2 linked regions of the Arabidopsis thaliana genome follow. The protein of the gene in region 2 interacts with the protein of the main gene of each other region in a pairwise test. Each region holds a gene or a part of one and is shown on either strand. Other genes may lie near its edges.

Region 1 (9,959 bases), on a different chromosome or scaffold from region 2:
AGTAATGTATGTATCCTTGTCACTAATCAAACATGACTTCTATTTGTCTCAATCAACTGCTTAAGTGTTTATATATCTACAGATTGGCAAATAATCCAGTGTGTCTAGAGGCGGGAAACGGGCCGAGTTACTGTTCAGCAATCCAACACAATACCTCATTTTCTACACTCCCAACAAACTGTTCTCCATGCGAACCGGGCATGGAAGCGAGTCCCACGTGCCGCTGTGCGTATCCATTCATGGGAACACTCTACTTCCGGTCTCCTTCTTTCTCAGGGTTGTTCAACTCCACCAACTTCTCAATTCTACAGAAGGCAATCGCGGATTTCTTTAAGAAGTTCAATTATCCTGTAGACTCCGTTGGTGTTCGGAACATAAGAGAGAATCCAACTGATCATCAGCTTCTAATAGATCTATTGGTCTTTCCATTGGGAAGAGAGAGTTTTAATCAGACAGGAATGTCACTTGTTGGTTTTGCATTTAGCAACCAGACTTATAAGCCTCCTCCGATATTTGGCCCTTATATTTTCAAAGCTGATTTGTACAAACAGTTCTCTGGTATGATGAACCCTTGTCACACACACAATCAAACTAGAACTAAAGGTTGTTATTGATAACTCATTTGCTCTGCCTTTCTTTTTGTCACAGATGTAGAAGTTTCATCAAAGTCATCAAACAAAAGCATTCTCATTGGAGCAGTAGTTGGTGTTGTTGTTCTTCTACTATTGTTAACAATAGCTGGGATTTACGCTCTTAGGCAGAAGAAGAGAGCTGAAAGAGCAACTGGTCAAAATAATCCTTTTGGTAAGACAACAATATTTACTACTCCCTTGACTAAAATAGCATGAACAAATTTTCTTTGGCATGTTGCAGCTAAATGGGATACAAGTAAGAGTAGTATTGATGCTCCGCAGCTAATGGGAGCAAAAGCGTTTACTTTTGAGGAGCTGAAGAAATGCACTGACAACTTTTCAGAGGCAAATGATGTTGGCGGTGGAGGTTACGGCAAGGTTTGTGTCTTAACAAATGCCTTCAAATGAATGTAACAACTAATGGCCTTAGTTGAAATTCATGATCCCAAATTTTGATGGTTAAATAGGTTTATAGAGGGATTCTTCCTAATGGGCAACTCATAGCAATCAAAAGGGCTCAACAAGGATCTTTGCAAGGAGGGTTGGAGTTCAAAACTGAGATTGAGCTTCTCTCAAGGGTCCATCATAAGAATGTTGTCAGACTCTTGGGCTTCTGCTTTGACCGGAATGAACAAATGCTCGTATACGAGTACATTTCAAATGGGTCACTTAAAGACAGTCTGTCCGGTAAGATCAAACTTCTATCTTCCTCATGAGGATTTCAGATAGTTCTTGGATGCTGAATATGTTAGTAATGCAGGGAAGAGTGGGATTCGATTGGATTGGACAAGAAGACTTAAAATAGCACTTGGTTCAGGCAAGGGCTTGGCTTATCTTCATGAACTTGCTGATCCTCCAATTATACATAGAGACATCAAATCAAATAACATATTACTTGATGAAAATCTAACCGCAAAGGTTGCCGACTTCGGTCTCTCCAAACTTGTGGGAGACCCTGAGAAAACTCATGTCACAACACAAGTCAAAGGAACCATGGTGAGTAGAAAATTTATCCTCCTTTCTCTTTTTTTCTCAAATACATTTTAAACTTACAATATCTTTGTAATCAGGGCTACTTGGATCCAGAGTACTACATGACGAATCAATTAACGGAGAAGAGCGATGTGTATGGGTTTGGTGTGGTTTTACTCGAGCTATTAACCGGTAGAAGTCCGATAGAGAGAGGCAAATATGTGGTGAGAGAGGTGAAGACAAAGATGAATAAATCTCGGAGTTTGTATGACCTGCAGGAGTTGTTGGACACAACGATCATAGCAAGCAGTGGGAATCTAAAAGGGTTCGAGAAGTATGTAGACTTGGCTTTGAGATGTGTGGAGGAGGAAGGAGTTAATAGGCCATCAATGGGTGAGGTTGTGAAAGAGATTGAGAACATAATGCAGCTTGCGGGATTAAATCCTAACTCAGATTCAGCAACGAGTTCAAGAACGTATGAGGACGCAATCAAAGGATCTGGTGATCCTTATGGCAGTGAATCGTTTCAGTACAGTGGGAATTTTCCAGCTTCAAAGCTTGAGCCCCAATGATTGATTATGTTTCTTTTTGTTATTTTGTTATTTCGTAAGTGACTTCATACTTGAAATGCCTTGTGAATGTGGAGTAGCATGATTCTGTTTGATATGTGGTCGCTGATTATAAAGCAGATGAATGGAGAGCCAAACGCAGAATCAAAAACCACCAGATCTTTGGCAATGTCGACACCAGTTTCAAACATAAGAAAAGTAATCAAGCTCAATGTATGATGAATAATTGAATATATTAATTCTTGTTGAGAAGTTTGTGTGGTTTCAAAGATTTAATCCACACATCACACACACTTTTAATTTACTCCAAACCTTTCACATTTATGCATGAGATTATATTACAAATTTATATTACAAATAATTTGTAGTACGTAAGTAAAATTAGTATTAACTAATAAGAAAAAAAAGTAATAAAGTTATTGGGTTTGCAACCTAACACATCAACGATCCCATCGAACAACAACAGTTACATGACCCAGGGTGAATTTATGGTTGTCGTCTCATCTGAGAGCACTCTCTGATCTAGTGTCCTTGTTGTCCACACCTCAAACACGCCCCCAAAATGTATGACATGATTTAACAAAAAATAAAAAGAAACATGATTTAAGACATGTGGTGTGTGGCAACTCTGCCATATATTTCATGGTGAGGTAGCGAACCGGCACCAAGTTTTTCTCGATATGTTTCCTCCATTTACCATTCTTTACGGTAGACTACGGTAGACTCATAACTTTTTTTATACCGGAGTCATATCGTATTAGTTTCTTAAGAGGATTAAAGCACACATATGTTTTTGTGTCTTATTTACTACAAAAAGTCTTTTTACTAAAACACTAACAAAACAAAAATAACATACAAAAAAAATAAGAAAAGTGGTGGGATGTGGCCAAATAGCATTAGCATACATACGTAGGAAAAAAATAGACGATGTGGTCATATGTCAGAGTGGTCAAGGTCCCATCCCATCTCTGAGTTTTCCGTCGGTTTGGAGTATATTGATCGGAGAATATGATATGGGCAAAAAAAAAAAATCGATTAATTTTTAATCAATTTGGGGTACACTGAAAACAAAAAATATTTTTTTTATTAATTTACTTGGAGGAAGTACTGGTCAATATAACATCAAACCATCAGCATCATTCATTGTTGTTGCAATTAGTATTATTATCTCAAGTTGATAAAAGCTTGTGCTGATTTTTTCCATGACCATGACTTTATTGCATGTTGCTGTTAGAAAAACCATATCAGTGCATAGTCGCTTACCATTACTCTATTTCAAAAATCTCTCTTTTCTTGAGAAGAAACGTTCTAGGAAAACAAATAATATATACATGACTTCTCCCAGTTTTGTGCAGAAACAATTAAATGTTAGATCATTTAGTTAAGTTTTGTTACATATTGCATATTTATGCTTTATCATGTAAACAGATTTATTTATGTAGTTAATAAAGGACTAGTCTATTATAATGGTGTTTTGTGCCAAGTCATTGTTCATAATTTGTTCCTCCACATTACCGTATTGACATTTCAATTTCTCCCTTGGATAATACCTTTGAACCCTTCCGCAATATATAGCGGTTCTTTATTATCTATATCAAGTTGAACTATTTGTTTATATGGTCCACTGTCTATTTGTTTGCTTTATTTATAAATTTTCGCTTAACTTGTTCAAAGTCTTCTCCTTTATGTCTTACATGCTTTGTTAGCAAAGAACATGGAGGCTGCATTTTTATGTTAGAGTTCGTCATAACTTGTGCAGACCACATGCTTTCTTCTTGAACGAATTGTGATACATATCATTGTGTGTCTGATGAAGATGAGTTCAAGAATTGGATTATTTAAGCTCTTGATCTTGCTTTTCTTCCAAATTTACTCTGTTTATGCGTTCACAGATGGTTCAGATTGTAAGTATAAGTAGATGATGATCAGAGTTCTTTTAACAGATAAAGATTTCCAATTTTTTGTATTTTAATTCTTTCAATATTGGTGCAGTTACTGCTTTACAAGCCCTGAAGAACGAATGGGACACGTTATCCAAGAGTTGGAAAAGCTCTGATCCTTGTGGAACCGAATGGGTTGGAATTACATGTAACAACGATAACCGTGTTGTTTCAATGTAACACCTTGGTCCCTTTCTTTGTTTGTTCTTTTGCTGCTTCTTTCTTCAATATAATCCTCTATATACAGACTTTAAGCTGTGTTATTTGCTTGTTTCAGATCATTAACCAACCGTAACTTGAAAGGAAAGCTTCCTACCGAAATTTCGACATTGTCTGAATTGCAAACCTTGTAGGTCTTTCTTCTTCTTCTTTTTCCTTTGCATAAAAATGGATTTAGTTCTCATCTTATGATTCGATGTTTGCAGGGATTTGACTGGCAATCCTGAATTGTCTGGACCGCTTCCAGCAAATATCGGTAACCTCAGGAAGTTGACTTTCTTGTAAGCAAAGTAAACAAGATCTTAACCTAATTCCATCAATCGCATTATCTTATATATCGCCTTTTCTTTTGTTGTTTTCTTCTCTAGGAGCCTTATGGGATGTGCTTTTAATGGTCCAATCCCTGATTCCATAGGGAATCTTGAACAACTTACAAGACTGTAAGATTTGTTGCTTCTTATAATTTATAAACAGTCACTTTTTCAATGTAATCTTTAAAACTCATAATAAGTATTACTTTGCGTTTCCTCCATACAGCTCTCTGAATTTAAATAAATTTAGTGGAACAATTCCGGCTTCCATGGGACGGTTATCGAAACTATATTGGTTCGACATAGCTGACAATCAGTTAGAAGGAAAGCTTCCAGTTTCTGATGGGGCTTCTTTACCTGGACTTGACATGCTTCTTCAAACTGGGCATTTGTATATATAATCCCAAATCCTTAGTTTTCATTTTTATTTAGTTACTCTTTATATATAACATTCATCACTCTGACTCTCTTTTACTTTCTTTTGTAGTCATTTTGGTAATAACAAGCTTTCAGGCGAAATCCCAGAGAAGCTCTTTAGCTCAGAAATGACTTTGCTACATGTGTAAGTTTCATAGTACATGCAAAAGCTGAGAGTTTTCACTAGTTGATATTAGAAACTAACAAAGTGATGATTGCATTTTTGTTCTTGTTTTATCAATAGGCTGTTTGATGGAAACCAATTCACCGGTAGCATCCCAGAGAGCCTCGGCCTAGTTCAAAATTTGACTGTGTTGTAAGTAGTAGAAATATATTTTCCAAACTGTATGTTCACAAAATTTCTTTAATCTTATAAGATATTTGCTTTGTTACAGACGTCTTGATAGGAATAGACTAAGTGGAGACATTCCTTCAAGTCTTAATAATCTCACAAATCTTCAAGAACTGTAAGTGAGCAAATAAAGATTTGTTCTGTTTTCTTAAGATATATAAATGAAAAGATGTAAAAGATCTTGTAGTTGAATCCATTTCAGGCATTTGTCCGACAACAAATTTACAGGTAGTCTTCCAAATTTGACCAGCTTGACCAGTCTCTACACATTGTAAGTTTCAATATTTTTCTTCCTCGTTTGTTGCTCAAATTTAGCATCAGAAACCTTTCTTATTAATAATCAATCTAATGCCATGATATGATTATTATGTAACAGGGATGTGAGCAATAACCCGTTGGCGTTATCACCGGTTCCATCATGGATCCCTTTCTTAAACTCTTTGTCAACATTGTATGAGCATTCCTCTCTCTTTTTAGATATATATAGATTTGTGAGCATACATAATGAGAAAAAATGGTCTTCAACTTGGCAGAAGGTTGGAAGATATCCAACTTGATGGTCCAGTACCAACCTCCCTTTTTAGCCCTCTTCAATTGCAAACTGTGTGAGTCAAATAAGTCATGATCATGAATGTTCAATTGGAAAGTCAACTCAAAGATTTGTGAAACATGTACTGATTGGGATGGTTTTTCTTGACTTGCAGTTCCCTAAAGCACAATCTTATAAACACAACATTGGACCTTGGTACCAACTATAGCAAACAATTGGATTTTGTGGATTTACGAGACAACTTCATAACTGGTTATAAATCACCAGCTAATAACCCCGTCAATGTAATGTATGTATTCATCTTTGACCAATATGTAACATCTTTGAAGAATAACTTACGTATGTGTGTTGATATATCCATAGGTTGGCAGATAATCAAGTGTGCCAAGACCCGGCGAATCAGCTGAGTGGCTACTGCAATGCAGTCCAACCAAATTCCACATTTTCTACCCTAACAAAATGTGGTAATCATTGTGGTAAAGGTAAGGAACCGAATCAAGGCTGCCACTGTGTGTATCCACTTACAGGAGTATTCACCTTAAGGTCTCCTTCATTCTCCGGATTTTCAAACAACAGTAACTTCCTAAAGTTTGGGGAGAGTTTAATGACTTTCTTTAAGAATGGCAAGTATCCTGTAGACTCTGTGGCCATGAGAAACATAAGCGAGAATCCAACTGATTATCATCTTTTGATAAATCTCTTGATCTTTCCATCGGGACGCGACCGCTTTAATCAGACGGAAATGGACTCTATTAATTCTGCATTTACCATTCAGGATTATAAGCCTCCTCCAAGATTTGGTCCTTATATTTTCGTCGCCGATCAGTACAAAACATTCTCTGGTATGATGAAACGTAACACACACTCAAACGAAATCTATATTGATTTAACTCATTTTACTTATAAGCCTTGTTTGTTTCACAGATTTAGAAGATTCCAAGACAGTAAGTATGAAAGTTATAATTGGAGTAGTAGTTGGTGTTGTAGTTCTTCTGTTGCTGTTGGCTTTAGCTGGGATTTACGCTCTTAGACAGAAGAAGAGAGCTCAGAGAGCAACTGATCAAATGAATCCTTTTGGTAAAAGAAAAATGGTTTAACACTAGAACAAAAGACTTTTCTCTTGTCTTATGAAAATCCTGACAGCTTCTCGTTTGTCTGTTGTAGCCAAGTGGGATGCGGGGAAGAATGAAATGGATGCTCCACAACTAATGGGAACAAAAGCCTTTACTTTCGAAGAGCTTAGCAAATGTACTAACAACTTTTCAGATGCAAATGATGTTGGCGGTGGAGGTTATGGCCAGGTTTGTGTATTTCCAATGTCCTCAACTGAAACAACCAGAGGTAGTAGTTCAAATTATAATACCAATTTGATGGTGAAACAGGTCTACAAAGGTACCCTTCCCAATGGGCAAGTCATAGCAATCAAAAGAGCTCAACAAGGATCCATGCAAGGAGCGTTCGAGTTTAAGACCGAGATTGAGCTTCTTTCAAGGGTCCATCATAAAAATGTTGTTAAGCTTTTGGGCTTCTGTTTTGATCAAAAAGAACAAATGCTCGTATACGAGTACATACCTAATGGGTCCCTTAGAGACGGTCTATCAGGTATATATTTAATCTCTATATATCTTGCTTTGTTAGTTCTTTGGTGCTGAACTTGAAAAACAAATGTAGGGAAGAATGGGGTTAAACTGGATTGGACAAGAAGGCTCAAAATAGCACTTGGCTCAGGGAAGGGTCTAGCTTATCTTCATGAGCTTGCTGATCCTCCAATTATACATAGAGACGTCAAATCAAATAACATATTACTTGATGAACATCTAACCGCAAAGGTTGCTGATTTCGGTCTCTCCAAACTTGTGGGGGACCCTGAAAAAGCTCATGTCACAACACAAGTGAAAGGAACCATGGTGAGTAAAAAAGAATCTATCATAAAATATATGAAACCATTAACTATAAAAACTAACAATATCTCTGGAATTAATTAGGGCTATCTTGATCCTGAGTACTACATGACGAATCAATTGACGGAGAAGAGCGATGTGTATGGGTTTGGTGTGGTGATGCTTGAGTTATTAACCGGTAAAAGTCCGATAGATAGAGGCAGCTATGTTGTGAAAGAGGTAAAGAAGAAGATGGATAAATCGAGGAACTTGTATGACTTACAAGAATTGTTGGACACGACAATTATCCAAAACAGCGGGAATTTGAAAGGGTTCGAGAAGTATGTAGATGTGGCTCTACAATGCGTGGAGCCAGAGGGAGTTAATAGGCCAACAATGAGTGAGGTGGTGCAAGAACTTGAGAGCATATTGCGGCTTGTTGGATTAAACCCTAACGCCGATTCAGCAACATACGAGGAAGCATCTGGTGATCCTTATGGTAGGGATTCGTTTGAGTACACTGGGGTTTTCCCAACTCCAAAACCCTAACGCAATAATTGATTAATTTGTTCTTTCTCAGTTTTTTATTGTTTTGTTTTTTGGTTATTTTGTAAGTGACTTTACAACCTTAAATGCCGTGTGAATGTGTGTGTACTAGCATGATTTGATTTTTGATATATGTTGTTTTGTGGTCGCTGCTTATAAAGTGTAAACAAGATTGGAATCAAAATAAACATCAACCCTAAGCAACCCTAAGTTGTCATGATACTAAATAAATCTAATCACCGGATTTTGAATATACTCTCTTTGAGGTTGTCTCAGCAGTCCGGTTGTCATGTCTCTACGGGTATCCCCACGCACATATACTGTGCCAAGCAAGGATGCTAGTGTGTCCTTCTTGAATCCGCGAACGGATGATCTTTCTCTATTCTCATGTTGTAGTTATGATTTTCTTAACTTCGTTCGTAATCAAGTGAATACTTTCAATAACAGACTTGTATACACACTTTTTGGTTTTTTACGGTTTACTATTACAGTATTAATCGATTTTCTACCATAAAATTAAACTGTTTATCTAGTAATTAAAAAAAAACTGACACAATATGAAAATAAAAATGGTCACAAAAAATAGAATTTCTTTAGTAAAATGAAAAAAAATCACTTAATTTGAAAATTTTTTTTTAAGAGAAAATATAGTGAATTGTTTAATCTATAATCATTTGAATTGCAAGAAACAAAAAACAAAGAAAACAAAAACCTATATTTTATTTGGAACGGAGTACTGGTCAATATATCATCAAAATATCAGCATCGTCGGTACTGCAATTAGTATATTATCTCAAGTTGGTAAAAGCTTACGCTGATTGTTTCCAGGACTTTGACCATGTTGTTGTTAGAAAACTATTTCGCTGACCTGAACCGTCTTGGGCAAGCCAATCATATCTAACGTTTTTAGTTTGTAGATTTCGTTTTTCTTTAAATGTTTGAATCATTAATGAGCGTTTTAATACATCATATTTAAAATGAGACACTAGTTTCTCATCACAATAACTGATCATCACGTTGGTTCCGTTTTGATTCAATATTTCGGGTCGATTTGATCCAAAAAAATATCCAAATATTGGAGTTAAAGCAGAGCAAACAAAATTACCCTTTTTTTTTTTTTTTGGACAAAACAAAAAAAATTACCTTCCTTTCAAAATAACTACTCCCTCTGTTTCAAAATAAATAGATTTCAAATTTCTAATAATCTTATATTCATAATTGGTTCTTTCCCATTAACCCTAGTGGCATTTCCATCTAACCACATTTTCCGAACCTTCCATTAATAGCATTCTCATATTTTATCAAGTGGAACTAGTCTTTAAATGATCCACTGCCAATTTCTATTATTTATATGTTTACTTTTACATTATTCAAAGTCTTCTCCTTCTTGTTTAACAATATTATGTAAATGTTTTGTTAGCGAGGAAGCTGTATTTTTGTATTCAAGACTATGTCATAACGTGTGCAAATCACATGCTTTCTCATTGAATGACTTTCCGATACAGTCAGAAGCAGGGAAAGAGAAAAAGAGATTCTTTGTGGGTCTCAAGATGAGTTCAAGAATTGAAGTC
Region 2 (6,944 bases):
CACCATAGACATTGTAACAAACAGGGTGACCTTCTCGGTCATGTCCATGCATAAACACAACCTTGTCAAGATCATCCACAAGATCTTCCTCGACCAATTCATCGATCTTGAACTCCTTTCTCCACTTGATTGTGTTCTTGAGCATAGCAAACGAATCTTTCACCTTGAACTCCCTAGCTCTTAGGAATTTTAACAAAACGACGTCGCTTCTATCGTCTTCAAGTAATGGAATCCCCCAAATCTTGACTTCTTCTGGTGTGTTGGTGAATTGGTGATTGTCTAGAGCTTCTCGAACTAGATGTTTTAGTTCATCGAGTGATTTCTTCTCGGAATTAGATAGATCAGAAAGTTTGCTGCTTTCTTCTTTGAATGAACCAAGATTCTGTGGAATCATACTCTTTTTCTCTTCAGCTACTTCTTTCTGCGATGCTTCGTCTTTAACCTCTTGTTTCTCCGTCGATGCAGTTTCTGTTTCCGTCACTGTCGGTGGATGATGCTCTGCCGCGGTTTCTTCTTCTGGCTTGGTGGTGGTATCTGCAGTTTCCGGTGGATTAGTCTCAGTCACTTTCTCCAGAGTTTCTGTCTCTGTCGGTAGGGCATCTTGAGTAGATTCAGATACTTCAGAAGGCGTGAGGCTCGGAGAAGGTAGCTTTTCCGGTGTAACGAGAGTGGTAGTAGTAGGTTCTTCAGCCATTTTTTACTTGTGCCGTCTTGTTCTGTGATTGTTGTTCCTAAATTGGGCAAAAGTGAATTTTGGGTTTATAGAAAGAAAGAAAGAAAGTGGAGACAAAAAAATACGTTGAGACGTCGTCGTAAGTACAAAAGGGTATATTGGTAATGCCAATCGAACCGGTTTTTTTATTTTATTTTATTTTTGTTGTAAAAAGATTAATATATTTTCTCGTTTTAGCATCAATTCCAAATTATATATCAGGATTTTTGGTGTGACAAAAAAGACAAAACAATCGTGAAATTGGATCCAATGACATTTGAAGTATACATTTTTATCTTTCAATTTTGAATAATAATAAAAAAAAAAAAGTAAAAACAGAAGAGATCCACGTGAAAAATCATATGTTTGATTTTTTTATTCCTTTGTTTTTTGTTTCTTTTTTTGGCGTCCTGACACCTTCACTGCTCTACGAATCCAACCAACACTGTAAAAATTCTATTTTGTCTCAGTTAAAATTCTAATATAATCCAGTTGTTGGTTACAGTATTTTCCAAAACAATACTTTTAGAACCATATAACAATAATCTAAACCAAACAGAAAACTCAAAACTCGATCAGTTTTTTTTTTTGTTTTAAACAGCCTTAGTGGCCAATGTTTACGGCCCATCATAACAACATATTGGGCCTAAGTTAAGGCCACGTTTATTGTGGGCTCTATAGATCGGTAAAGTCAAGAAAAGGAAATCACGAACAACGGAAGAACAAAACTCTGAGCGAATCAATCAATCGGAAAAAGGAGATAGGTTTCGCGAAAATGGCGGAGAAAAAGGATAGTGTGCCACCGGAATACGATGTGAATGCTAAGTGGGACGCATGTCTCGATCTCACTGTCCGCCGCTTCGTTTACTCTTCCCTCGGCGGCGCATTTGCCGGTCTTCTGTTCTTCAGTTCGGTGTTTCTATATCTCCCTACTCGATTCTCGTTTTCTTATTACTTGCTTGTAGCTGTTTTATGATAGATGTGTAGTGTTATTACGAGAATCACTATGAATTAGGGTTTTAGAGTGTTTAATTTCTCCAATTTGAATCATATATTGTTCCAGTTCTTGAATTATTACTTGCCTTGAGATTGTTTTTGTGCATAATTTAGTTTCTGATTTTGTATAGGGAGTCCTGTTACAAGATGGGCATCGATTGCTTTAGGTGCTGGAATTGGTATTGGCTCTGCATATTCAGATTGTTCTCGTGCTTTTGATTCACCTTCTTCATCTTCAGCTAATTTAGCAGCTCCCAAGAATAATATTACAGAGACTTCTCCTGTATCTCAGGTTAGTTGGAATCTCTTTTGGTAAATGCATTTGTTTGGGGGAAGCAATGCATTAGTTTGGTACAAAATTGATACTAGGGAGAAGATGTTAAACTTTAGAAAGGTTATCGTTTAGCTGATGGATATAAGAAGTTAAGAACCAACTTCTTTGCAGATGATTAAAAGTAAATTGAGAAAGTTAAGCATGGCATTTGTTAAACTTTATAGTTCACTAGACATCTTGAGAATTGTCTTAAGATAACATATACATGTTTGTTAGCGTCGTAGTGATTGCTAATGAACTACGAATTGTTAAATAACGACTCATAGAGTACTAGATATCTATCCTTCTTTCATAGCATAGTTCCCTCTTGCAACTTCCATTGTTTGTAGTGTTCAATATAAGCAGAGTAACACAAGTAAAAAGCAGGAAAAAGTTATAATTGCAAATACGAGTGATGGTTAGTTCATGAGTGATCATTGTCTATGAGTACTAAAGATATATGTCGTTCGCCTGGTTTACCTCTGACGAATCGATCATCTTAAACCCATGAGAATGTAAAAGAACATAAGGTTGAATATTTTCTTTATTCTTCTTATTTTTGCAGGCTGCAGACGAGTAGACAATGTCGATAAAGTGGAAGTTAGTAACACATCCAATGATCGGGGTGTTCAGAAACAGAGCTATTATCATGCAATGCTTTGTTGAATTGTTTCCTAAACCTGCAAAGACAAGAGTCTATTGAGATAATGTCAAATGTAAAAACCTTTTTTTATTCGCTCTATCTCTCTCCCAGTGGTTTTGAACAAGTGAATACAAAAATGTTGCATCAATCACCCATTCTATTTTTTCAACCTCAACAAGGATCATCATGCCAACGACGTCGTTTTCATGTGTTGAAAATTTTCAAACCGGAAATAACCGAGAGGGTCCCACAAGAGCAATAATAATATTAAAAAAATATCGAACCAATCAGAGTTCCGATGGACCGCCATAGTCACCGACTAAAAAAACCAGCGACCACGTAAATCTTTGACGACGAGGAGGAGGAGGAGGAGAAGAATAAACGGAAGAAACTAAGAGATGAATAGTCCACCGGAGAACGATCTTTGTTCGATATGTCATTCCCACTTCACCGCTCCTTGTCAAGCCAATTGTTCCCATTGGTTCTGCGGTTTACCTCTCTCTATCTCTCTCAATCCTTTCGAGTCTTTGATTCGTTTCTCTTGTCTCTTCGCTAACTCTGTTCAATGAGATCGGAAATTTTTTGCCTGAATTTGTGCCCATTTGTTTTCCTTTTTGTCATTGACTGTTATTGCCTACGAGCCTCCTGAATCTTGATCGTTAGCTTTTGGTTAAAGATTAAATTTTGCCTTTAGAATCCAATCAGCATAAGTTTGTAATCTCAAAGTTCCAAACTTGAACAATTTTGTTTACCCTCTCTCTGCTTTCACTACCGATTACAGATTCTTGGATTTGGTTGAGTTCGGTGATTACTTGCTTAGAACATATAGATTTCTTGGCTTACTAGTTTTTTCAAGTCCACTGGTCTAATTACGAAGTTTGCGTGGTTTCATTGCAACGAAAGATTCTGCCTTTTCTGTGATCTGTCGCTCTAACTCTTCTTTTCACTTTGCTTTTAGGGAACTGCATTATGCTGGTGTGGAGGCATGGATCTACATTACAGCCATGTAAATGCCCTTTGTGTCGTCGTCATATTAGTTTGTTGGTTCCTTCAGAGGACACAATCAGAGACCGTAATGACGCTACAGTTAAGGAGGTTCTTGGTAATCTTGAAACTTACAACCGACTCTTTGGCGGGCGTTCAAGTAGTTTAGTTCAGGTATGTGTTCTATCTCTGTGTTTTAAGTTGCTTGTTTGGTCTTTTGTGGAAAAAGTGAATGTGTTTTAGTTTTTGAGATATATAAGACTTCCATGAATCCCCCCATAAGTAGGATTGTAATGTCAAATCGCTCATAAGGAAATTCTTATTCCCTTGGCAGAGGATGCAAGACCTGCCCTTCTTACTACGGAGGTTGTTGCGGGAAATGATGGATCCACAAAGAACGCTTCCACTTGTCATTAGGGCTCGGGTTTATATCGCAGTTAAGTTCGATGACATCTTGATCTCTCTGTTTATACATAGATTAGTCATGTTATGGGTAGTTACTGTTCCATTTGGTGTCAAACATGACGCAGTTTCTTTGTATTGGATGCAGATGATTCTCAGTGCTGTTTACATAATCAGTCCAATAGATATCATTCCAGAAGGTGATTTTTTTTTTAATCCTATGAATCTTTTCTTTGTCTCCCTGTCTTCTCACAAATCCTTTCTTAACTAATTTTTCTTAGGAGTTCTGGGGGTAGTCGGTTTGCTTGATGATCTACTCATAGCACTGATTTGTTTCCTCCATGTTGCTGCTCTGTACCGCTCGGTTCTCTATTTCCGTCATGCCGGTTCGTGAATCAATGAGTGTCTTTGACATTATACGTTGCAGTTCAAGAACTAGAGATGTGTGCTTACCTTTTCTTCTGTCTTTGATCCTTTCCCTTTACAAATACACAATTGTTCTGTTTAGCTAAGGAAAACTGAAATGTGTGATGATAAAGATCACAGCACAAAAAGCTTGGAAGTACATATCAATCATCTTCCTACCACTTCCTATACGCTAGTCTTTTTGACCCTTCCACTCAAATTTATCAATTATGGTTTCGACCGTTGACTCGAGAAACTCTGAGATGGGTCATGGTGATGGGAACAAAAACTTTACTTCAGTCTCTGTTCTCTCAGCTACAAATCAAATATTGAGTGGTCCTCTTCTGGAAACCTTGATAGGTCTTACTCTTACCTCAGTAGCTGCTGAATAGTCTTCACAGGTTTTTACGATCTTAGTATCCGTTTATTGGCCATAACCGATACGGTGTAGTAGATTTAAGAAGTTCTTTCGGAAGTCTCACACGCTAAAGGAATAACTTTGCAATTTACTCTAGTTTATCGATATTTCAAGAATCAAAAGATTACTACTCGATGTCTAGAAGTTTCCGCTATGTAGAAAACTTGGTTGTTTCAAAATGTCGTTTTGATGGTTTGGCCTAAAATTTAAAGTGGTTTATCCACTAGTAGTCTCTAAGTGTTGAACCGTAGAACAGATTTTCCATTTATAGAGAGACAATACAATGTGTCATAGATGAGTGGACCACAAGATAGAACCACAAAAAAAAATTTGTCTCAACATGGTCACACGTGCATAGTACACGTACAGCTTTCGTGGATTCTATTCACATGGTATCAATCAAAAACACATACGCGTGATAGACTCATCTTTTTCATGTGCATGTCCCGAAAGTGACGTTGCTCCACTGGAACTCACCGCCTAAAAATCCCATCTTCAAAACGTTTCTCTTGGCCCTCGATATAAATGCATTGGTTACCAAATTGTCGATATTATTGCTTCAATCATGATTCGGCTTCATTGGTATATCCGTATATATCCCTTGTCACGTAAGGCAAACACATAAAATATATGATAAAAACAAAAATTAATGGAGTTGAATTTAGTGTTACCTATAACGGGTATTAATTATACAAAAGTATGTAAATTAGTAAAATAGTGAATCGCCCATGAAGTTGCATAATCTTGTCTTGTAAACAAATGTATTGTAATGACGTGACGTTGTGTTAGTAGAGGTATGGAGACAGATATGCTCTTCTGATCAGTTTCTCGTCCGATCAATATTATTATCATTGTGGGACGGTCCTACTCGACAAATTATAGAGACACCCACGTTTACATTATTGTAAATATTTATATTTTTAGCTAACTTCGGGCCTACTGTCACTATTTGCTAGCTATATTTTCTTCAAAATGAAACCGTCATCTATATTCAATGTCCTGTTTCAAATAAGCTCAAAATATTTTGGTCAAAATTACCTTTACTTGATGGAATTTTGCAATGCTTGATACATTATGTTTATGCAATTTTATGGTGCATTATTATATGTATGTAAAGTATCTAATTTTTAAGTATACTCAACAACGAATAACTAAAACATAGATCATATCTAACACTAGTGTTTGTCTCTAGCGATAATAAAACTTTAAATTCTCTAATGTCTCTACCAATAGAATATTTTTGTGTGATATATATGTATATATAGAGCAAACAATGTGGAAAGCGACTGGGAAAATAAAGGAACCAAATGAGAAAGGGAAGGGATACAGCTGGGGAAGTCAACATCCAAATCAAAGATCTTTTGATTCTCACTCACATATCCCTTTATTAAACCGTATCTCTTCCCATTTAAACCGACACAAGAAAATTTATTAGGTATCACGGTTAATACTTTATTATTCAGTAGAAAGTATTAGTATTTAAACAACTAAAGAGAAGTTTTTTTTTTTTCTTGCAATAGCTAAAATTCCATTTTGTATACTCTTAAAAAAACTATGTTAGTATTATTGATTTTGGCCAAATGTATGGGGGGATTTTTTTTTTATAGTATTCTCATCTACTTTTTGTTTTTGTTATTGACTGTCTCTGATTTCTTTCTCGTGTATTGTCTCACTTTTTAAATCATTATCTTAGATTTTTCTTAATAAAATAAAGAAGCAACATACTATATACTATTCTAACATGTAGGATGATAACCTTGTAAGGGCCATAACTTTATGGAATTTCATTTGTAAGTTTGAATAATTACCAATCGAGTGAAGTGAGCATGAAAACAAAGTGATTCAGTGAAAGGGGTACATTTATAACCACATAATCATCATATACTAACCATTTCACTATCTATTACCGTTTCTAAATATTTTACTGTATTATGGTCCTTTAATTTGTGTTTTAACTTTTAGTGGCTAAACGATGCCATAGGACCCAAGGCCATCACACATTGATATCAATCAGAAAGAGAATAAGCAATTATAAGTTTTCATAATAAATATGTGATATAAAACTTGGAGA

The links. The genes of interacting proteins can lie anywhere in the genome.
Region 1: the proteins of AT1G72175 (region 2) and AT5G49770 interact in a protein complementation assay, tested with the Arabidopsis thaliana proteins (one large-scale study listed by BioGRID).

What each region holds. Positions count from the first base shown.
Region 1 is NC_003076.8:20,218,877-20,228,835, forward strand, and holds AT5G49770 (Leucine-rich repeat protein kinase family protein), read left to right. Parts: upstream 1-3,792; 5' UTR 3,793-3,983; coding exon 3,984-4,077; intron 4,078-4,165; coding exon 4,166-4,289; intron 4,290-4,390; coding exon 4,391-4,462; intron 4,463-4,538; coding exon 4,539-4,613; intron 4,614-4,700; coding exon 4,701-4,772; intron 4,773-4,869; coding exon 4,870-5,034; intron 5,035-5,130; coding exon 5,131-5,205; intron 5,206-5,304; coding exon 5,305-5,376; intron 5,377-5,455; coding exon 5,456-5,527; intron 5,528-5,614; coding exon 5,615-5,683; intron 5,684-5,788; coding exon 5,789-5,863; intron 5,864-5,945; coding exon 5,946-6,017; intron 6,018-6,116; coding exon 6,117-6,251; intron 6,252-6,325; coding exon 6,326-6,804; intron 6,805-6,886; coding exon 6,887-7,039; intron 7,040-7,126; coding exon 7,127-7,263; intron 7,264-7,344; coding exon 7,345-7,564; intron 7,565-7,633; coding exon 7,634-7,869; intron 7,870-7,947; coding exon 7,948-8,391; 3' UTR 8,392-8,590; and 1 more. Other genes in the region: AT5G49760 (Leucine-rich repeat protein kinase family protein), read left to right, coding at 1-6, 83-558, 649-804, 874-1,010, 1,100-1,319, 1,393-1,628, 1,703-2,176; AT5G49780 (Leucine-rich repeat protein kinase family protein), read left to right, coding at 9,939-9,959.
Region 2 is NC_003070.9:27,154,916-27,161,859, forward strand, and holds AT1G72175 (E3 ubiquitin-protein ligase RNF170-like protein (DUF 1232)), read left to right. Parts: upstream 1-2,959; 5' UTR 2,960-3,062; coding exon 3,063-3,153; exon of another isoform or gene 3,154-3,622; coding exon 3,623-3,822; intron 3,823-3,982; coding exon 3,983-4,084; intron 4,085-4,198; coding exon 4,199-4,250; intron 4,251-4,331; coding exon 4,332-4,444; 3' UTR 4,445-4,820; downstream 4,821-6,944. Other genes in the region: AT1G72160 (Sec14p-like phosphatidylinositol transfer family protein), read right to left, coding at 1-694; AT1G72170 (MICOS complex subunit, putative (DUF543)), read left to right, coding at 1,488-1,620, 1,840-2,000, 2,587-2,601.